Drosophila melanogaster: one gene and its partners. The protein of the gene in region 1 interacts with the protein of each later gene in a pairwise test. Each region holds a gene or a part of one and is shown in the gene's direction. Other genes may lie near its edges. The genes, in order: Sec23, CG14830, pasi2 and CG8851.

Region 1 (6,574 bases):
TCATTTTGTTGTTGTTTTGTGGTGGGCATGTGCTTAGCAGATCTGGTCGTCAGGTTTTAACTCTTAACTTGTTTGAAGGCCACGACAACGACTCTTGGCAACATAACCTCACTTTGTTGACAATAAATATACACACTTAGAGGTAACGTAACGCAAGATATGGATGCGGTTTCGAGGGAACAGGGTTTCTCTACTCACGTTGGTGTTTGTCGGCCAATTGCACGAGCGGATTGGGCAGATCCCGGCGGCGGTAGAAGCACATGACCTTCGCTTCCACATTGCCGGTTTGGTTTTTGTTCAGCTCCTCGATGCGTCGTATTAAGTAGGGACTGTTCGGCGTTGTCTCAACGTAAACATAGTCTGAAAAAAAAACAGTTTTTGAGGTGGCTGATGCAAAAGGGTCAGAAAAGGGCATGGAAGGGTGGGGGGCTGCAACTCCATTAATACGTCACAGGTAAGCGCACACATACACCTATACACGCATCCACCTAAGTGCGACCACCACTACCAGCTAAAGCGCAATTAAATACATATGGGTCTATCCATCCATATAACTTTATACCTACAACAACTGCAGCGGAACCTGTCGTTGACTATTATAAAAAATAAAAGAAATTCCGTTTATCTGTATGTACATACATACATAGATACAAACGTCGTGTGCACTTCTGCTACATTTTGGGATGCAGATACACAGATAGATGGGTAGATAGATGAAGAGAGATGAAAAAGAAAGTGTGGAGGCAGCGAGAAAGCATTGCCGAAGGTGTGTAACTGTGTGCGTGGCCATTAAAAACGGCTAACAAAAAACGCCGATGGAGACAAAAAGTTCTCGGCGATAAAGAGCAGATAATTCGACAAGTATATATGCCATTAATATTTATTTTGATTCCGTTAATTGAAAGCTTGCGTATCCGACCGAGCTTATTTGCATTTCGAAAGAGCACACACACCCACACACTTGCGAAAATCAGGTGAAGACAACACAATAACGTCACCGCTCGAGCGCGAGCGAGATGGCTAACAGAAAGTGCGTCAGGCAGGGTGAGGAGTGGGAGGCGTGAGATGGGGGGAGATGCTCAAAAGCTCATTAGCATATGAAAACACAAAAAGGCGGGTGGGCGGTGAGCCCAAAAGTGAGATACACTTTCGCACATAGTCAAACAAACACACACGCTGGAGAGATCACAATTCGGCAAAACCAAATCCAAATGCAAATGCAATTCAGTTCCCCAGCCCTAGAATACACACACACGCATACACTTAGGGCATAAGTTAATGCTTATCGGTTGGAACACGTCGAAAACACTTGCTGCAGCTGCGACACAAGAGCAGCAGGGGGCTCCTTCAAAGAAGTTAAAAAAAATAGAAAAGGTCTCTCCTTTTCGACGGATTGTTCTTGAGATTGATAATACACGCACACACACACACATACACGTGCGTCGGGTCTCCCACTAAAGGGTTTTCGGCAATTAAAATGCACTTTCGTTATTGTTGGAAAGCCTCCTCAGACACAACACACACGCATACGCACACATTGGACACACACACACATATGCAGAAGCGAACACGCACACCGTGAAACGGCGGCGCCGATAACGAAAGATGATAGAAAAGCGAGTACGCGAAAATTTTTCTCACCTCCGACTCGATACATATTTGTGGCCATTTTCACTACGCTACCGCACCAAAACTTTCACATGCAAAACACTCGGCACACGCTTAGCACTGTTTTTCAATGGTCCTGTTCCAAACTAGCGCACATTTATTAGCAGAAAACTCGAGTTGTTATGATTGCATTTTTCACATAAGAAGACGCGTTTTTTTCGTCGCCATCTTAGAAACAACTCAACTCTAAAAAATACACGCACACACACACAATGCCGAGTAAACAGCTGCACCAGGGATGCACTCCACGGTGCGATAGTTTGGCCATCGATAGCAATCGATACATGGGGTGTTGGGTAAAAACTTAATGTTAAAATTTAGTTGGGGCGATAAGAAAAACGATAAGGGGCTTTTCTAGGAATACGATTTATATTTATTTATATTATATATACTTCTTGAATAACAATATATATCATTAAGAAAATTAACTGAAAAAATTATGGGCGAACCTTGTTTTATTTATCATTTTCAAAACATATTTATTTTCACCCTTTTTTTCTCATATTAAAACATTCATTCAATCGCATGGGGCGCATGCGATAGTATCGCTTGAAAACTGTCTTCCCTAACATGCAACGTTTGCACTTAAAATTCTGTAATAGTTCGTAGTCTAGGTTTCTACGTTTTGTACGTTTGTATAAATTGTTTCCAGAGTGAGTGCTTTGATTTGAAGAGCCTCTTAAAGACTCATCTCGCGAATTTGTTTACTTTCGCGTGAGTATTTTGGCCGTCGCCAGCACGAAAGGTGTCACGACTCGCTGTCAATCCGTGACGTGGCCTGACCGACCGATTTTTCCAATTGGCAGAGGTCTAACAGAGGTTTTTCCGATTTAAGTATTACATTTAAGTGTTCCGGCGATGACCACCTACGAGGAGTTCATCCAGCAGAACGAGGACCGCGACGGAGTGCGGCTGACGTGGAATGTGTGGCCCTCAAGTCGCATCGAAGCCAGTCGGCTGGTGGTGCCCCTAGCTTGTCTTTACCAGCCTTTGAAGGAGCGCCCCGACCTACCGCCTATTCAATATGAGCCGGTCTTGTGCACTCGCAGCAACTGCAGGGCCATCCTGAATCCACTGTGCCAGGTGGACTACCGTGCTAAGTTGTGGGTGTGCAACTTCTGTTTTCAGCGCAATCCGGTGAGCTCAATGGTGATCTTTAGACTCTCTGCGGCAGTTTATGACAGTCATTATTCCAGTTTCCCCCTCAATATGCTGCCATTTCCGAGCAGCACCAACCAGCGGAGCTGATTCCGGGATTCAGCACTATTGAGTATACTATTACACGGGCCCCCACCATGCCGCCCGTCTTCATTTTCCTGGTTGACACCTGCATGGACGAGGAGGAGCTGGACGCCCTCAAGGATTCGTTGCAAATGTCGCTAAGTCTGCTGCCAACCAACGCTCTCGTGGGTCTGATAACCTTCGGAAAAATGATACAGGTGCACGAGCTGGGCGCGGAAGGCTGCTCTAAGAGCTATGTGTTTCGTGGTACCAAGGACCTGACTGCCAAGCAGGTGCAGGATATGCTCGGAATTGGGCGTGGAGCGGCTCCGGGGCCGCAGCAACAGCAGCACCTGCCCGGCCAGCCGGCTGGAGCGGCGGCCCCTGTGCCGCCCGCCCATCGCTTCTTGCAACCGATCGGCCAGTGCGACGCGGCGCTGGGCGATCTGCTTAGCGAGTTGCAACGCGATCCTTGGCCGGTGCCGCAGGGCAAGCGTTACCTGCGCTCCACTGGTGCCGCCCTATCTATTGCGGTGGGCCTGTTGGAGTGCACTTATCCCAATACGGGCGGTCGCATTATGACCTTCGTGGGTGGCCCTTGCTCCCAGGGCCCCGGCCAGGTGGTCGACGACGAGCTGAAGCACCCGATTCGTTCGCATCACGACATCCACAAGGACAACGTGCGGTTTATGAAGAAGGCTATCAAACACTATGATGCTTTGGCATTGCGGGCAGCCACCAACGGGCATAGTGTCGACATATACTCGTGTGCCCTGGACCAAACCGGACTGCTGGAGATGAAGCAGCTATGCAACTCCACTGGCGGCCACATGGTCATGGGCGATTCGTTCAACTCATCGCTCTTCAAGCAGACATTCCAACGCGTCTTCGCACGTGATGGTCGCAACGACTTGAAGATGGCCTTCAATGCCACGCTGGAGGTGAAGTGCTCGCGCGAGTTGAAGATCTCCGGTGGCATCGGCTCGTGTGTGTCGCTGAATGTGAAGAGCCCGTCGGTGTCGGATGTGGAGATCGGCATGGGCAACACGGTGCAGTGGAAGCTGTGCACATTGAATCCCAGCTCCACCGTAGCCTACTTCTTTGAGGTGGTCAACCAGCATGCAGCCCCCATTCCGCAGGGCGGGCGTGGCTGCATACAGTTCATTACGCAGTACCAGCACCCAAGTGGACAGCGGCGAATCCGAGTTACCACACTGGCCAGAAAGTATGTGTTGGCATAAATCAGCCCAGAGTTTACTTACGTGGTTCAATCTGTTTGTTTTTCAGTTGGGCCGATGCCACCTCGAACGTGCACCACATCAGCGCTGGCTTCGATCAGGAGGCCGCCGCAGTTCTGATGGCCCGTATGGTCGTCTATCGTGCGGAGACTGACGAAGGACCCGACATTCTGCGCTGGGTCGATCGTCAGTTGATTCGTCTGGTAAGTTTTCAATGTGCAAAATTACTCGTGCCCAATTAATTAGTATTGTAAATGCTTTCCTTTTACAGTGCCAAAAGTTCGGCGAGTACTCAAAGGACGATCCCAACAGCTTCAGGCTGTCGCAAAACTTCAGCCTATTCCCGCAATTCATGTACCACCTGCGCCGCTCGCAGTTCCTGCAGGTCTTCAACAACTCGCCCGACGAGACCACATTCTATCGACACATGCTAATGCGCGAGGACCTCACCCAATCGCTGATCATGATCCAGCCTATTCTCTACAGCTACTCGTTCAACGGCCCTCCAGAACCGGTCCTCCTCGATACGGCTTCCATCCAGGCGGATCGCATCCTCCTGATGGACACGTTCTTTCAGATTCTGATTTACCACGGCGAGACCATCGCCCAGTGGAGAGCCCTCAAATACCAGGACATGCCAGAGTACGAGAACTTCAAGCAGCTGCTGCAAGCACCGGTGGACGACGCGCAAGAGATTCTTCAGACGCGCTTCCCCATGCCTCGCTACATCGATACGGAGCACGGCGGATCCCAGGCCCGCTTCCTGCTGTCCAAGGTCAATCCCTCGCAGACGCACAACAACATGTACGCCTACGGGCAGGTGAGTCTCGCAGCCAGCGCCATCAACTGGCCACATTTGATTGATCTTTGCAGCGCTCCATTTGGCGTCATCGAAAATTTAATCTCAATCGAAATCTCAATCTCGTTTTATGTTGGTTTTGTTTCTCTCATTGTATAATCCGTACCCGTATCCGTAACCGCTCCTTTGTCAATCGCAGGCGCCCATCGGTCAAGTCACGGTAGTACATATTTGTTTAATTTTCAACTTTTAAACTGGTGGAAAGGTGGATATTTGAAATTTAAGGGGCGGGTAAAAAATCTTTGGAAATTGGATATGTCCTTTGCTCTTGATAGCTATAAGTCCAAAATAAGTGTTTTGGATTTTGCAATAAATCTAAGATGGCCAACCCCACACGGCTTAATCTAAGCAAAGATTTTGTCTGTTCCTATTTTTTCATATTGTTTTTAATAATTTCAAACATGATTTATATATAAGTGGCTTTTGGTGTTGGACCCTTCTAGGTGCTTGTATCCCTTTTTCATTCATCCTCCCCTCCCCACTTGGCACGATCCCACCCACCCATCGCATGACTAATTTTCCGGACATTATCTCGACAGGATGGCGGGGCTCCAGTGCTCACGGATGACGTTTCGCTGCAGCTGTTCATGGAGCACCTCAAGAAGCTGGCTGTGTCCACCACCACATAAATCGACTCTGGCTCTAGTTTCAGGCGCTTGCTTCCCTGGCGAAGTCGAAGAAGGCGAACGACACCTGGAATCAATGGTCCAGGCAATGAAATTACGAATATACAACCACTTATTCCAATTGATCGTCTTATAACGCAATAAACTATTCAAATTATGTTCAACAATAAGTGTGTTAATCCGCGATGCTTTTATTCGTAAGCAGCTGAATTAGAATTTACGTTGAGCGGAATGAGTTTGTAATTATAAAAACAAGGCATTAACAAAATGAAATGAGCATCTCTTTCATTCTTCATAACAACTATTAATACAAGTAAATCCGACGGGTTCCTGAAACCTACAAGATTTGTAAAAATTATTTTTTTGTAATATAAGACAGCAAAAGATTTATTTATATTTTTATCATAAATATTTGATCAAATTTCCGGACGCATTTAACTTTTAGATACCAAGCAATTGGTTATATTTTTCTGTATTTCTCTAGCACCCGTGATCAAACATATGCATTTTTTGTTTAACTTGAATGAAATATCTTCGATAAGCTTTGGGCAAATTACTCAGGTTTAAAAAACTTTGCGACACTTTCATTTTCATTCATTAAATTGAAACTTCTAAATGGTTGGAAAACACAACTGGTATAATAAGAATAGCAACCACTGCTTTCAAATCATTAGAGTTTTCAGTAACCCGCCGGAATGCCTCTCGACTAACTGCATCCTAAACTATTTGGTACACACTGACTAAGAAGGTCGCTCTTTCCTCGTGATTGCCGCATCCAGCTAGCCTAGTTGAGAAACCGTATGGACATCTTCTGATCCACGTCGGTGCGGTCCAGAGCTTTGCAGAAGTCCTCGAACGAGATCTTGCCCTGGCAGCACAGGTCCGCCTCCAGGATCGTCCTCTCCGCAATGCTGACCAACTGGTCCTGGCTAATGTTCGCCCCGACCATCATGTGCAGGATG
Region 2 (5,334 bases), on another chromosome or scaffold:
AAAGCTTTTATCTAAATTAAATCCCGACACATGCGAACCCGTCGATTTTTCCCAGTCTTTTTTCAGCCATTTTAAGCACATGACGTACGAACGACTTTGCCACTTAAAGGGGTCACCTTAAAGCGATCCTTTGAGACGATACATATGTAAGTGTACATATGTAGATGGTCTCATTGTATTTAAGGCACAATCTAAACTTTTTCACGACACTCACGACTGAGAAATCTGTGCAGTTTTATGCAACTTTTATGACACCAGCCGAGGACGAAAAAACTTTTTACGACTTGCAGTGCCAAAGAACAAACACCAGACCTTCTCGAGCTGCGCCTGATGCGTAAAGTCAACAAAAAGTAACGAACGAACTACTACGAACTACTACTACCCTAAGGAACCGAGTGAGGGATTTAACAAAAAAAAAGTCCATCCACCTCTGCACACTGAATGTGTGTGCAAAAAAAAAAGTGCTGGCAGGAGAAAAACCTGAAATAGACAATGCACAAAGTATGCACAGGATCCTGTTCGTGTCAGAATCAAAGATATCCAACTTAGAACAGGACGACATTCGCTGTACGGAGCAAATAAAAAAATTAGTAAGGATTTGACACGCTGGAGATGGTGAACAAATATTTCACATATCTCTGTTTCAGAGGAAAGTTAAACAACTGCTGGTAAGTACACTTTTCAGTCCAGTTGGAAGCCATATTAAATGAAAATTAAATTTTTAAATAATATATACATTATTTATATTTTTTCAAATTATAATTGCAAAATAGAAAATAAACTAATGCTAACTGCGCAAACGGAAGTTGCACGAAAGTTGTTTGAAAATTTCGCGCAATATTTTCACACAAATGCATACAATGTACGAAAAATATGGCATGTAATATTTTTTTTTTACATGACTGACTATTTTGAATACCATTCAGCGTATAAATTGCAACCTTAAACGTTTACAGAGAGAGGGGGATGTGCGGGGAAAAGTGACCCAGAGAGTTGGGCCTCTGGCCCCATTATCGATGCCACTCATCCTAATGACATGATGCAAATTAAGCCCCCAACTTCTGCCGCCAGCCAACATGACCCCCAATGCTCCAGCCAGCAGTCAAAAGCATTGCACAGTCACGTGCGGCAGCTGGCCAACAGCGGTGCCTGTCAGCCAGTGGAGCCTAATGTAGTAAGCCCCCAATACAGTTCACCTCCCTGTAACCCCTGTAACGCTCCCTCACTACCACAACCAACACCAACTCCTCCCACCACCCACTTTACCTCCCGGTGCACTGAAAAAATATTCATAGGGAGATAATGTGACAAATTATAAGCAAGATGATTATATTTTATGTTAAAGTAAAAGTATCAAAGTCTATGATTTAAATAAAGATAAAAATAAAAAACATCTTTTAAATATTTTCTTATAAAACTAACCATAAGTTTACTTATCATACCACCACCAAAAAATTCTAAACTTCTATCTAAGAATTTCATAGAAAGAGAATCTTTCGTCACCTTTTTTTTCTCTGTGTGCGAATGCAGTGCACGTGTTGCAGAAGTTTCGGTTAACGGTTATTAAATGCAGTTTTTGCAGTTTGACAACAAAATGCAGTCGCCAAAAGTGCAAAGTGCAGATGGTGGAGACCGGCACGGCCAGGCCAAGAAAGCCACAGAGAGTGAGAGAGATGGGGAGAGTATAGTTGGGAAAGAGCCCGAAGAGTCGATAGTGAGGATTGAGTTGGCCAAGAGCGCAACCGGTTCGAGACGCGTTTTAGACCAGTTTAGACCACTCTCACAGGTGCTGGAACATTGTCGCAACTCTCGAGCGATCAGTTTGAGCCGTGATCGCAACGCGTTCGCTTCGATTTTTCCCACCGGACCACGGTGCATTTTGCAATCTCCGCGATTGCCAAACAAACAAAACAAAGTTTTACTCCAACGAAAAAAAAAAAAAAAAATCTGAGATAAATAACGCGCAGCAAAAGCAACTATTTTTAGCGGATTACGTGAGTGTCATTTGAATTTTTTCGACGTGAAGTATACGCCCGATCTGTTGGCGAGAAAAATAAGAAAAAGAAAAGAACAAACAGAGTGCTGGCCAAATTTGCTCGCCATCTGTATGTGTCTGTGTCTAAGCCAAAGTGTGTGCGAGTGTGTTTGTGTGTGTATTTGTGTGTTGGCCAGCTCCAAAACCTGCTGCTATTATTAGCCTTAGCCAAGATTATGGGCGATTTCATTATGGCGCTGCAATTTGCTGTGCCGCCGCAAAAAGCGAAACAAAAATGTAAAACAGTGCCTGGGCCAAGAAGATTTGAGCCGAGTTAGACGAGTTCCGATGTCTTGGCCATTGTGTTTAGGCCGCCTCGCACCGACCGATTCGAGCCAACTTGCGAGAAGCTGCAACGCCTTTCATTCATTCATTCATGGCGGCGCTGGCGATTATATCATTCCGTGTATTAATGTGTTGGCTGCCATTTTGGTCAGAACTAGTAAAGGTTTTTGGCCCACACACACACACACACGCGCACAAGCACATTTGCAAAGCGTCAGCGGCGACGATGTCATCGCCTTCATATTTCCAATTTACATTAATATTTTTCTCCACACAACCAAATCACATTGGCAATGTTTGTTTTCTCGATTTTCGGTGCAGCAGCAGCCAAGTGAAGTGTAATGAAATGTGTACAGCGGCCAAAAACTAACAACCTGTCGCATTGGCTGGCAAAAAGCGTTAACAATAAATAAGCGAAACAATACCAACAGCACGGCCAGTTCAACTGTATAACAATGAGGAGAGAAGGTAAGCCAGTTTTTGTATTTTTATTTATTTTGTAGCCCACAACCATGCCGCGGAATACATTCCCATATCTCTATATATGTATATATGTATATGAAGGGAAGTTGTGTGGATGCATAGACGAGAATACAGAGAGAAAAATCCAAGGACACATGTCTCATATCTAAATTAGATCATCTGAACATAAGCTAAACTCACTTGAGAATATAAATTACAATCAAATTAAAACGAAGTGCTTAAACTTTTAAGTGTGTTCAATACTACTACAATATGTTTAATGATTTCGTTTTTAAATGACTTAGGATCAAGCTGATTTATAACTAAATATTAAAATTCATCTAGTATTTTCATCTTATTGTAGTATTTTTCGGGCACATCAATTTTTCCAGTGCATGCTCAACTCGCTTATTTGCCAACAATTTGCTTTTTGGCGCAGTGTAATTGCATTTCGAGCATCTTAAGACTGCCATCCACCTTCAGTTTCAATTTCCGCAAAACGTTGAACCGAACTCAGCTTTTGCCTTTGCGTGGGTGGGTGATTCCATTGATTACGCACCGGTTGACCCTGAAAGTATCAGCCAAATGTTGGCTGGTACACTGGCCTTATATGAGCACGATTTTCGGTCTTTTGTCGTTCAGTTTGTTCGCCTTTCGATGGCCGCAGGAGGAGTGCTTATGTCATTTGTCAACGGACCAAAAATGATACTCGCTACCGAAATCCGTTGGAAATTCGAGTGAAAAGGCCACTCTTTGGTCATTTGGCAGCAAGACTGCAATCTGGGGAATTGCCTTTAGGCGATAGTGAGACCAGTACAAATGCCAATACCAAATGGATCAATGAGTGAAATTTAATGTGCTTATATGCATTTCATTTATTGCTTTCACTTTTCGCCCGAATGTGACAATCGTGATGGCAAAAGGCATATCGAGGAAATGCTTTGACATAAGCCCTTATCCAACCAGTATTATCATTAAGCTAGGAAAAGCGTTTTCAATGGGCTTATCTATATGGTGTATCTGCAGCTCCCATAGTTACCATAGTTCAGATATGAGAGTAAAAACCCCCCATGTAACTAACCCACTGTGCATAACAGAACTTGCTTTTGGTTTTGGTTTTGCTTGTTCAGTTGGTTGGATTTTTCTTCGGCACTATTTCTTCGTGTCTTCGCCGTTGGCCATGTTTATGCTTAAAAGCCAGCCATGCTTAGCACGCTGGCCATCCAATAAAAGTTGCAGCTAGAAATTCAAAACCAACGCCAGCGGCCAAGTGTTTCTAGTTTTTCTCTTAGCCCCCTTGTTTTTTTTTTTCTTTTGGTTTGATGACAATGTTTTGATAATAATGATAATTTTCTGTGTCTCTTATTGTGCTGGGGTTTTTTTTTCGTTTTTATTTTTTATTTTTGGTTTGGGGTCAACATGAAGTTATGAGTTTCGTGATTGCGCCGAATTCGGTAACAATTAGAGTTTTGGCAAAGATAGCTTTTCAGCTATCAGCTAAAAACCGATGCTCATGGTCAGCAGCGTAATTCGCAAGATACAGGGAAAGTTACGTAATCCTGCTGCGGCTGTTGCGGTTCAGCGCAGACAGGTTTTAAACGGCCAATTTGCAGCTGCACACGGTGCGTATACGTGTTAAGCGAGAAACTAGCGATTCATTGACTCCAAGCCACAGTAAAATTTAACCGAAGAGGGTATATACCCAAATGTATATATGCAAAATACTCATCAGAAAACACAAATCAATCAAAGCTAATCACTTTCGGCACGTTGGTTATATAAAGTCAAGTTACTATACACAAATATGCAAAAAAAAATAAATCAACTCCCAGCTTTCGCAGTCTTACTCATTTTTCGATGTTTGCGTGTGAATCGGAAAGACAACTAAAAACTGAACCTAAAAACCAAACCAACTATTATGCAGGTACGAATTATCCAACCAACTGCAACTTTCATCTGACATTTGAGGCGACTGCATGCAATTGAAATCTGCAAACCAACAGATGACTTGGTGATGGTGATGTCATCATCACATATATGTAATTAATGTCTCGTGTTGCTTGCACATTCATTGCGTGCAAATTATACGAAAAAGTATCCGACATTCAAACATTCAGACATTCAGGCATTCCGCGGTTGCATTCGTGCTATATAAATCAGCTATCGACTCGCAGATCGATGCTAAGTTGAATGCTTATTGAATCAATGATGCCAACCGGTTTTGGCTCCGATTTCTGATTTCTGATGGCTGATTCGATTTTTTAGGGTATCAGTTAGAAGCAAATTATGGGTTTCATTAGACTCTGAACAGCTATTTCAAAGGCCATTACTGGCATTCTTATTATATTGTTTACAACGCTTATGCATAATTCTAAAGAATATTGACTGGTGAAATTTAATTGCCAGCTTTAGGTTGCTAAACATTTATTCAGAAATATATATATATATATAATTGCCTAAGAGCATCTTAATAACTTTTAAAAATCTGTATTAGAAACTAATACTATACTTCTTCTCTAATTCCCACAAGTTTCAGCCCCAAATAAATCCTA
Region 3 (5,129 bases), 3.7 Mb from region 1:
ATAGTAAGCCTCCTTGTAATTGTGTTTCTCATCGTATGCGCATGCTTGCGTGACCAAATCAATGGCCTTTTGCAGAGTGTGCTCCGTGGGAAACGTCTTGAGATCGAGAAAGGGATGCGCAAAGAAGTCTGCAAACGAAATGCGCGCCGTGGGCTCGTGGGCCAAAAGGCGGCGCAAGAGATCATGGCACTCGTTGCTGATCCGAGCGTTTGGTGGCAGTGTTATGGCCTCGGCCTTCCTAATCCTCAGCAATAGCTCCTCAATGGTTCGCGAACTATACGGCGCCTTGCCGAATAGGCATTCGTAGAGGATGACCCCGATGCTCCAGAGATCCGCCTTGGCATCGTACTGATGCTTGCGCACAATCTCTGGGGCCATGTAGAGCGGCGATCCCTTCAGCTGTTGATTGATTTCGCCTAGTTTGAGGTGCTGAGCAAACCTACAACAAACTAGAATTATTAGTATAAAGTATCTATTGTAATGCTATTTGGCTAACTACCCAAAGTCTGCCACCTTCAGGGACACATTGTTAGCTCCCCGGGTAAGCAGCAGGTTCTGTGGCTTAAGGTCGAAGTGGGACACATCGTTGGCTCGCATGTACTGCACAGCGGCAGCTAATTGGCGCAAAAAGTAGCGACAGGTGCTCTCCGGCAATGCCTTCTTGGTTCGTATAAAAGCGGATAGATTGCCGGCATTGCAATACTCCAAAACGATGTAAATATTTCTGAAATAAAGTAGACATTGTAGCATTCTTAATTCTGTTCATTGCTAGTATGTTTTCTAACGAAAATCGATTTCAATTAACTAGTTCCGCTGAATTGGTCAAAACTGGATGATTAATTGTTGGAACCCGTTCCTTGTAACTGAGTATGTCTTGAGTAGAATAAGTGTACAAAACTATCATTTGAATTGAAGAACTCTAAAGAACCAAACGTTTTTTATGTACATATACATAGTAGGAGTAGAGCTATAGAGGATTGTTAGCTAATCCTGCCACCATGTCAACTCCTACATATATGCTAATCCTTCTAGAAGGATGAACATCGACTGATTGCATGGAACGATGTCATACTTGTCGTCCCAGAAGAAATCCTGCAGGGTCACAATGTACTTGTGCTTGAGTTCCCGGAGGAGGCGTATTTCGGTGATTAGGTTTTCCCGCGAGGTTTGCGACAACGTCGACATTTCCACATACTTGATGGCATGATAAGTGCGCTGTTTCTGCAATGACAAAACGTAAATATTAAGACCCTTTGCTCTATGTGATGTGTATGTAACTGGTGTCCCACTTTGTGCCGCGCTTTGTACACGGTCGCATAGCTGCCCGCTCCAAGTTTCTCGAGAATTTCAAAGTCCGTGATCCGCGGCAGTGACATGTTGGGCCGGTCATCTAGTTCTGATACCAAATATTTTTAAAATTATATGTTTATGTTTTCCATTGGTCGATTGTTTTCGCTCTCCTCTGCTCACACACACACGCGCGCGCAATCCAGGGCTTCGCAATTCTTAACGATATCACAGTGAAATTGCTGAAACAAATCGATAGCAATCAATCGAATTTAAATCATTCGGCGATATAAAAAATTTGATTTTGTTGAATATATAAAAAGTTTTTACTCAGGAATCAGAATTAAAATGTATATATGATTTAACTAATCCAGCAGACATAAATGAAGTTCGGTTATGTTGTTTTATAAACATGGCAATAACTTCAAATTTACAATGAACCAAATCTATATTATTTTTTTCAATTTTATAAGTTTATGAACTGAACGTCTCGTAACCATATGCATCTCAGTTATGAATACCAATTTAATCATTTTTCTTATATCCTATATTACATTTAAACTGATAAATAAACAGGCGCCCAACTGCACAGCTGATTAGCCAATGCTGACAACATCGATAGCACTTGTTGCTCTATCGGTATTTGCTACTTTTGCTTATCGCATCCCTGGAAATATCTAAGCCCTGATTCGTATGTTTTGTTTTTGATGCGTTGCGTGGTGATTAATATTTCGTTTTTTTGGGGTAAATAAATGCTATGGTATTTCAATTATTGTTTTTCGGAGCCTCTGCAGATACTGCAACAGTATAACATAAAAATATATGTAGTTAACCACCTTGGAAAGTGTTTAAAACGCGGCTAAAGTCTTCGAAAACGTTAAGCCTTGCTTGACACACCCAAAATACACAAATTAAGCAAACACGCCCTGGTCAATAAACGAAAATCCACAGAACTCGCTTACTAACGGTTATGTTTCAAATGTTTTAGTAGCTGATTAAAGGATTGATAAAGGACTTGCCTTCTTATACACGTGACGAGACTTAAAAGGCTTCATGATGAATTACGGTAGGAAAACGCCCTCCACATATCGGTCCAATCCGTCGGTTTATTCCCATGCCACGGGAAGGTAAGTTTCCCTTATAACCTTTATAGTAATATGACCAAGCTAATCTTCTATATATAATCTTCTAGATCCTCGACGAATTTACACTCCAAGATGTCCCGATCCACGCGATCCGTCAGGATTCCTTGGTACCAGCGACCGTTGCTTAAAAACAATCAGTACATCGATATACAGAAGGGTGCCATGCTGGTCGGATTGTTTGCCATTGTAGGAGCGGAAAATCCTTATTGAGAAAGTTCTTTTTTGTAACACAAAACTCCCTTGCAGTTTCTGTCCCTCTTCACCATCGCCACGAGCATCTTTGACATCTACTGCTATGCTATGGCTGCGCCAGGATCCACACATTATGGCTACTACATCATATCCTATGAGTTCGTCTATGTGGGCAACAAGCATGGTGAGCTTTATGGGGGTATCCTTCGATTTTAAATCGAATTGGAATCGTATTCTTCGATTTTAAATCGAATTGGAAATCGTTGTTTTAACTTGAAATATCTTTTCATAACCCACCTGAATTATTTGTAGTTCGCAATATGCTCATTGTCTTTGCCCTGTTCTCGCTTATCATGGCGCTGATAAACTTTGTGACCAGTGTCCTTCTCTGCGTGGCTCTGCGCAAGGTAAGTTAGGGCTGGAAATCTTACAGATTTTGCATGCAATTCATTTACATTTCTCATTGCCCGAAAGCATAAAAAGCTGGGAGAACAGAAACGCTTACTGAGCAAAAGGGTAACAAACGCATTCTGCACAGTCATAAAGAAGAAATTAGCACAAAATGCAAACAATTGGCATACAAGTTTTTTTTTGTTAAAACCCATTATAATATATGATTTTTATAATACTACTATAGGAATACGAGAGGAAGGTTATGCCATGGCTGTGGTCCTTTGCCATATTTACTGTTTGGCGGGCTTTGGCACTGATCTTCTTTGCCATTGTCAATGATCTGTACTTTGCCTACAATGTGATTATGGTGCTCCTTTGGACCATTTTTTGTGTACTGTCTATATATGGATGGGCCGTGGTGTACTCTCTGTTTTTGGAACTGGTGGATCTGACCAAGCTGGAGGATCTAGCCCATTTACGCGTACGTTCATTAAGTTATCATATCTGAAATATGACTAATGAGTATAATTACCTTTCCAGATGGGCACAATGGCTTCCCTGCACGCATCGACAGCAAACTCACTTGCAGGATCACGGCCAACCACTCCTCACAGCACCGTGTCCACCATGCCCGTGGGCTAATAAAAGTATTTGCCATCCATCTATGGGGCTCACAACGAAATTGCACAATCTAGACCGTCCGAATGCAGCTCAAGATAACCCTGATGCTTCGCACTCAAACATTGCTTAAACTATAGTGTACATTCCATCCACCAGTTTAGTGCCTTAGAGATGCGCCTCTCGAATACCACAAATTTTAACCGCGAATCAGCGTAATTAGTTGTAAGTCTATTCCGTCCAAACGCATATGTTTTTTGTATACTGTTGAAGAATCGCTGTCTTTATGTATGAATGTCAAAATATCGTGTTTTTTATATTCATATATAGATGTACAACCCGAATTGTAGCTATGTATCTAAAATATTAAGCGACAAGCAATATAAAAAATACGAAACCGAAAATATGAGTCTAATGACACTTCAGTTGGGTCCATTTTCGGGCGTTAACCAAAAACGCCCACATTTGACAGCAGTTCATCTGAACTCATCTGCGTCAAGCGAAAAAATGATATGTACGATAATCTAATTCAAAGAAATTCCTTAAACTTTATTGTTTTCTATATGCAATTTCAAATTAAATCCTTTCAAAAATTTTCCGAAGAAATGTATCTTTAAAGTGCTCTTTTAAAAGTTCAATAGATGCTCAAGTCTCAACCTTATGGCAAAAGTTAATCTGCAAGTTGTTGGGATTTTTGAAATTACCAAAGAATCGAAAGGGGATCCCACTATGTGCATCTGGAATTTCCTGACCGCCCATCAATCTTGGAAGCACAATTGCTGGGACTTGTTTGCTGCGTTGAGTGTCAGTGCTCTGGTCATTAACACCCGAAATTATTAGCCCCACACCGCAAAGTGGGGCATTTCAAGTACACACGGGCACAAACATTCGCCGTGGGATGTGCGGAGGCCAAACAAAGTTCAATCAACTGTTTTTGTTAATCATTCCATGGATGACGACAACTCCGGCGATTTCGTAGTACTATCCACATACGCATTTGTATGCGTGCTTCTATTTGCTTGGTGGTGTCGGTGATAAACCCCAAGCTCGAGCTTTCCCACCCTATGTGTCACACACATTTTCCTATGCTGAATATTTTCTAAGAGCATTCTGCTTTCCTCATTCAAGTGGGGTAATTTGAACAATTGCATTTGGAATTCAGCTGGAAAACAAACTACGTCATCGAGTGGCGATTCTTTGTGGCCTTTGTGTGCTTATCTTATTCTTAGGGCTGAAACGTTTATCTTTTTTGATTGCCATCTTGTGCAATTAAAAAATGAACCAACGACAACAATACTTATAGTAAAATATAATAACATAGTAAGAATCCCTTTTCAGTTTATATAAATTAAACAAAAAGCTTAAATTTGATTACATTTGGATTAGATGAACTTTAAATGATATATTTAGATAGTCAATATTTTAGAAAACGAATTAGTTAACGTTTTTGGAAGTGCCATTGGAGTACACAGTACTCTTGCTTAAAATATCCAC
Region 4 (5,856 bases), on another chromosome or scaffold:
TGGGCGGCATCGAAGCTGTAGGAGAGTGTGTTCAGTTGACCCTGCATCTCGCGGATGACAGCCTCCCGATCGTTGACCGACAGCGAGGCAGTTGCTCGGCACTGAGCCAACTCCTTCTCAAGCCGATTGATCTGTTCCTGTTGCTGGGACTTGATCAGCTCGGCCCGTTCCTTGGTGCCGGCTATGATCTTGGCGGATTCAGTTCGCAGAGTGTCCAGATCGTCTTGGGTGGACTTGAGCTGTTCGCAGAAGAGATCCCTCTGTCGGAGAAGCTCCTCCAGTTCATTCCTGGCCTGAGTCAGTTCCATTTGGCACTGGGCCAGCTGAGGTCGCACATCGACGTTGGGTTGCTGCTCCATCTGCGTCTTGCAGGCCTTGAGCTCCTTGCAGACCACCACCAGTTTCGTCTGCATCTCATCCTTCTCCTTGCAAACCTGGGCCAGCTTCAGCTGCTCGTTCTCTAAGAGCTTGGGGAAGTGCAGTAACTCGTTCAGTTTCTCTTGGAACTTAGCTCGAATCTCTTTGACCTCCGTGTTGATCTGCTGTTCGATTCGTTTGTTGTTCATGTTCAGCTTCTCTAGGGAGACGCACTGTTCCTCGACCTTCTGCTGGGCCAGCAGGTACTTGTTGCGGTAGTCCTCTAACTGCTGCGACTGCTCCTTCATGATGCACTTGAACTCCAGCTGCTCCTCCTTGAGCTCGTTGACCCGCGCTCGAAGTAGATTCAGCTCGGCGGCATCGGCATCCCCGTCGCCCCCTTTCGATGGACAGGGACCACAGATACCCTTCATTCGCTTCTGCATCTCCTTCATCTGGCAGTCCTTGCGCTGAAACTCGGTTAGCAGCCTGGTGTAGTTCTCCTTCATCTTCTCGTACTTGTCGGCCTTGGTGTTCCGCTTTCCGCCGCAGATGACCAGTGGGTCTGGATCCTCGGGACACGGCGGCCTGGGAGGACACGGCCTGGAGCAGGGGTCCTCCTCTCCTTCATCGTCATCGTCGTCGACGTCACAGGGTTCGGACGCATCCCGATTGCTCACCTCCTGGAGCAACTTCTTCACCGAGGTCTGCATGCATTGGATGCGCCGCTTCAGTTTCTCCAAGGACTCGCACTTGCCCGGTGGCTGGGGCTGGGGCTGGGGGCAGGGAGCCTTCTGAGCCTTCCGTTTGGCTGGACAGGGAGGAGGACATGGGGCAATGCTGCTGCTGCTGCTCTCCGGGCAAGGACCTTGGCAAGGACCCGGACAGGGTGGTGGCGGACAGGGACCCGGAACGCATACCGGCTGCTTCTTGCAGCTCATTATAGCGCAGGCGATCTCTTCGATCATCTTCTTGTCCTCAGGACAAGCGCCCTTCATCTTCTGCATGGCCTTTTGCAGAGCGCAGATCAACTTGTCGTCCTGACCAGCCATGTCCCGTTGACCTCCACCGCCTCCGCCGCCACCACAAACACTGGCACACGAGCTAGGCTCTTCGCTACAGGGATCCGTGGCGCTGCCAGCTGGAGCACAAGGACCGATGCCACACATATACGGTGACAGGTTGTCCTCGTCGACGGTGGTGGTCATGGCCAGCTCCTTGTAGTGCCGATGGGAGCCGAAGTTTTGCAGCTGCACCGCTCTGTTCATCATGGTGTGCAGCTTAATGTTCTCCTGCTCCATGCAAATCCTCAACCGCTTGATCTCGCGCAGTTCGTTGCGGGTCTTGCAGGGCTTGGCGCACATGTCCATGATGTTGCTCTTGATGTCCTGGATGATCTTGTTCTGGCAATCGATCTCCTTGATCAGCGCCAGGTACTCCATGTACATGCGCTTCTGCTCGGGATCGTCGGAGGACTCGCCCAGCTTGGAGAAGAGGTCCTCGTCGGGCCCCTCCTCCATCATGTGCTGTTCGCCAAGGTACTGGTTCTCATCGTCCTCGTACTCGCCGCCCTCATCGGTGTACTCTGTGTTCTCTGCCATCGCGATTTAGATTCACTTATCGATGCGGCCAAAAATTGTATGGTTAAAATTTTTTTTTTTTTTTTTTTATATTTGGCTAGATTTACTAACGATTTTAAGGTACGTATATTCTGCGAAAATTTTAACACATACTCTGAAAAAATTTCGAAACAAGTTTTGGGAAGAATAAGTTGTTTTCTTCGTGATCGAATAAAATGAACTGAAAAATCCACGGACATTCGCCCTGGGCAGTTGGCAACAGATTTGGAATGGCCTGCTTCGACTTGGGAGAATCGAACGAAAGATCCCGGAGAACTGGATTGGGATCGAGGACTTGCTTTGTCGAGGTGGATTACCGGAGTCCTCCCTCCCAGGATGGTCAGGAATGTGTCCTTCGGGAGGAGTGTGTATCGAGGCATCTATTCGGCGAAACAAACAACTATATTTACTACTGCCGCTACTTGAATTGGTTCAAAATCAAAACACAGTGCGACTTGAAGGAAATGGTATATCTTAATAAATAATTTTAAATCTATTCGAAAATATGTTATGAGAATCTACCTGTATCCTTTACTAACATAAAAGTATGAAAATGTTTTACGGTGAAATGGGAAATTTAAAGGGCAATCAGTAGGAATATACATATATAAATTATCACTCTACTGGGAGATGTGGTTTATTATCTAAAACTATTATATAAACCTTAAGGATATAATCAATCCTCGAACAGCGATATTTTCCAGAAGGCAAATGCCATTCGAGTAGGCGTAACGCCCAATTTTCTATCAAATAATTTTCGTCACGTCCTACGTAAAATTAATATTTTTGGGAATTGAATGTGTCACATAAGGTTTTTAAAAAAATTCTCTGTTCGCCAAAAACAGTGCAAAAAATTACACAAGTGCAACATTAACCAAATAGGCTAAATTTTCGTAGATGTTAAAGCCATCCAGGCGACCATTAGCCAACAGACAACGATCACTTCGATTCCGTCCACAGAATCGCAAAGGAACATCATCTAGTAACACCTCAATGGGACTGGACTTCGAGCTGGATGAGAAGAACGAAGATCAGGCAGATGAAAATGAAAAGAGTAGCTATGTCAGCCTCTCCAGGCCGAGCTCCAAAGTACTAGATACGAGAAGTGCCAGTAGCTTGGACTTCGGGGACCACTGTAGTCCCAGTATAACAAAATTACCCAAGAACAGCAGGGAAGGTAAGGAGGTCAGCCTAATCATGAGTGATGAAGAGCCGGAAGATTACAGAAAGGGTTTGGGCTCGAAGAGGAGGTTGCCAGACTCGGAAGCCCTTGGCAGCAAGCTAAAGGAGGAACTCTGCAAGTACAAGCAGGAGCTCAAGGACTACAACGAAAGCACCAAGGATCTGGAGGAGAAGTACATGAAAATTAACTACGAGCTGTGCGAAATGCAGCAGAAGCACGATCAGTTCGTGTCCAGCAGGAAGCAGGCCCAGCAAATGGATCTGGGAAGTGAGCCCGATCCGGATGGATTTTATAGCTCTGCCAGCAGTGTCACCTCGCAGACGACCATCAGACGAAAGAGCCCCCAAATCCTGCGCAGCAATACCAGTTTCATGACCGTTCTATCGGGCCAGAGTTCCTGCGACGAAATCGATAGAAAGAAATACGCGTCCGAAAGGAGTACTCATCAGCAGAATCACCATCGGCACAAGGACGATCTGCCATCACAGGTGAACAGCGTTTTTGACAGCCGTATTGTGGAAACACTGGCGAACCGTCACGTGAAGCGCAGGAAGAGATCCTTGGAGCAGGACGATCGGGAAAGGGAGCCAGCATCCTTCAAGGATGTGTACAATGTGCTGAAGGATGTGATCAACACCTCACAGGTATGAATTAGCTGTTAGCTAAATGGAATATAAAAACTTAAACCTTCTTCCTTAATCAGGATCAGAAGTACAAGCATGAACGGGATCGAGGTAGGGACAGAGACAGGGACAGGGACTCTGGAGATATAAGCCAGCTCCTTACCACCATTAAGGGACTGAAGAGCGAGCAGGTCCAGTTTCGAACTCTCATTCGGCAGCAGCAGGAGAGAATATCGGACTACCACACGCGGTGTGTGAAAGCCCAGGACATCATGAGCACCCAGAAGCAGGAGATCGAGAAGCTGCACGTGAATAACAAGCAGTTGGAGTCGAGCATCTACCATGACATAGACAGTCTGCGATCCAAGATAGACAACAAACTGAAAAGTGTCTCCCATTTGCCGAAGATGATGCGAGACGAGCACTCCAAGTACGAGACGGTAATGCGGGAAAATTGTCTGCTGGCGGATAAACTTCATGCCCTCCAACAGGAAGCCATGCAGCTGAAGGTCAAAATAGATGAACTGGGCCGCCGAAAGTTGGTCACCATCAACCGGCTGAAGGCCGCCGAAAGGGATCTGAAGATCTTTAAGAACTACAACTCGGCCTTGAAGACGGAGAAGCGGAAACTGACCCAGGAGCTGTCCACCATGAAGGATCAGCTGGAGCAGCTCCAGGCGAGCAGCAAAAGGCAACTTTCCCGCCATCGCGAGCAGAGCGAAAAGCAGCGCAGGGATCTGCAGAAGAAGATCTACGACCTCGAACTGAAGCTGAGTAGGAGCCAAAACTCGACGTCCAGTTTGATCCAGGAACGGGATAGTCTGATAGCTGAGCTCCAGACGCAACTCCACACCCTGGTCCACAACTTCGAGGTCTCGCAGAAACACATAAGGGTTCTCCGGCGGCACATCTACTCCATGACGAATCAGGGTGGCACGGGCATCGTTGGCAGTGGGTCGGCTGGCATTGCCCACTTGACATCAGGTGGTTCCCATCGACCCAGTCTGATCAGGATCAATCAGCTGCCCCAGGGAACCAGCAACGGTCGATTTGCAGCCCCCCGAACTCTGAAGGCGACGATCTAAACGGGGATCTGGACTGGACTGCCTAGACCTAGGCACTAGATTGGGCTCATCAGCTGTCCAGGCAACTTGAAGGTACTGCTCCCAGCACTTGGACTATGCCATCAAGTTGCCTGGACATTATCAGCCCTTATTAAGCCACCAATTATTTCACTCTAATGATTATGTAAACTCATTTTTAAAAGTACTTTTAATGATTCGGTTAAATGTATTGGGATAGGAACTTATTTAGGTACGACAGTCACATTACTATCACCGCTCCAAAGATTCCAAAGCCTCCAGAATTTGAGTTCATTATACGGAGCTATGACCAGATCTTTATGGCACTCCTTGACATAATTTAGGCAACAATTGCCGTTCACCAGACATGATTCTTGGCATCGACACCCTTCATTGATGTACCTTCCCCGAACAAAGTCCTGACCACAACGACCAGAGCAGTCGGTCATTTGGTAGCCCAGTGAATCCGTGATATCCGATTCTTCTATTGGTTTTTTTGGTTCCTCGATGAAGGTAGACCTCCTGGCACATTCCTTAGCTGCCATCAGCTTCACGTCGTCGATGGCAATATCTCCGTATTGGGACCTCGCATCCGTGGCGGTAAAGATCACTTGGAAGTCCTCATCCATCTTATTGATATCGATCGTGTGCTCCAGCCACCTGGCACCTTGTGATCCAGTCATCACGAATTGGTCGAACTTGTAGGGACTAAAAAATCATATTGCTGTATAAGGCAAACTTAATTCTAGATAAGATAATTAGTAAGCAACTCACTGGTTTGTTTTAAATATGTCTCCTATAGTCACCGAAACGGGTTTTATGGACACCAGCAGGCTACCCACTCCGCTGCCGAACATGAAGTAGTGAAACTGGAAGCAGGCGCCACTCAAACTGAGCTCCTTGGGATACAGTGGCGATAGGAAGTGGTAGGTTCCAAAAGCATCGCTTTCCGTCTCCATGCGCACGTAGTGTCCGATGGATTGGTTTTGGAA

The links.
Region 2: the proteins of Sec23 (region 1) and CG14830 interact in a two-hybrid assay, tested with the Drosophila melanogaster proteins (one large-scale study listed by BioGRID).
Region 3: the proteins of Sec23 (region 1) and pasi2 interact in a two-hybrid assay, tested with the Drosophila melanogaster proteins (one large-scale study listed by BioGRID).
Region 4: the proteins of Sec23 (region 1) and CG8851 interact in a two-hybrid assay, tested with the Drosophila melanogaster proteins (one large-scale study listed by BioGRID).

What each region holds. Positions count from the first base shown.
Region 1 is NT_033777.3:5,646,856-5,653,429, forward strand, and holds Sec23 (secretory 23), read left to right. Parts: upstream 1-2,209; 5' UTR 2,210-2,382; exon of another isoform or gene 2,383-2,503; 5' UTR 2,504-2,526; coding exon 2,527-2,805; intron 2,806-2,864; coding exon 2,865-4,114; intron 4,115-4,176; coding exon 4,177-4,330; intron 4,331-4,398; coding exon 4,399-4,947; intron 4,948-5,125; coding exon 5,126-5,149; intron 5,150-5,525; coding exon 5,526-5,615; 3' UTR 5,616-5,774; downstream 5,775-6,574. Other genes in the region: MTA1-like (metastasis associated 1-like), read right to left, coding at 199-360, 1,642-1,669; elm (ethanol sensitive with low memory), read right to left, coding at 6,397-6,574.
Region 2 is NT_037436.4:7,260,403-7,265,736, reverse strand, and holds the start of CG14830 (uncharacterized protein), read left to right. Parts: upstream 1-1,816; 5' UTR 1,817-1,994; exon of another isoform or gene 1,995-2,105; intron 2,106-2,641; 5' UTR 2,642-2,788; intron 2,789-5,334.
Region 3 is NT_033777.3:9,333,222-9,338,350, forward strand, and holds pasi2 (pasiflora 2), read left to right. Parts: upstream 1-1,948; 5' UTR 1,949-2,031; exon of another isoform or gene 2,032-2,275; 5' UTR 2,276-2,340; coding exon 2,341-2,414; intron 2,415-2,479; coding exon 2,480-2,618; intron 2,619-2,678; coding exon 2,679-2,808; intron 2,809-2,936; coding exon 2,937-3,031; intron 3,032-3,261; coding exon 3,262-3,498; intron 3,499-3,557; coding exon 3,558-3,659; 3' UTR 3,660-4,238; downstream 4,239-5,129. Other genes in the region: Aduk (uncharacterized protein), read right to left, coding at 1-439, 500-724, 1,073-1,221, 1,290-1,376.
Region 4 is NT_033779.5:3,517,506-3,523,361, forward strand, and holds CG8851 (uncharacterized protein), read left to right. Parts: upstream 1-2,171; 5' UTR 2,172-2,206; coding exon 2,207-2,443; intron 2,444-2,716; exon of another isoform or gene 2,717-2,873; coding exon 2,874-3,803; intron 3,804-3,862; coding exon 3,863-4,867; 3' UTR 4,868-5,050; downstream 5,051-5,856. Other genes in the region: CG3213 (uncharacterized protein), read right to left, coding at 1-1,958; Sr-CIV (scavenger receptor class C, type IV), read right to left, coding at 5,089-5,572, 5,639-5,856.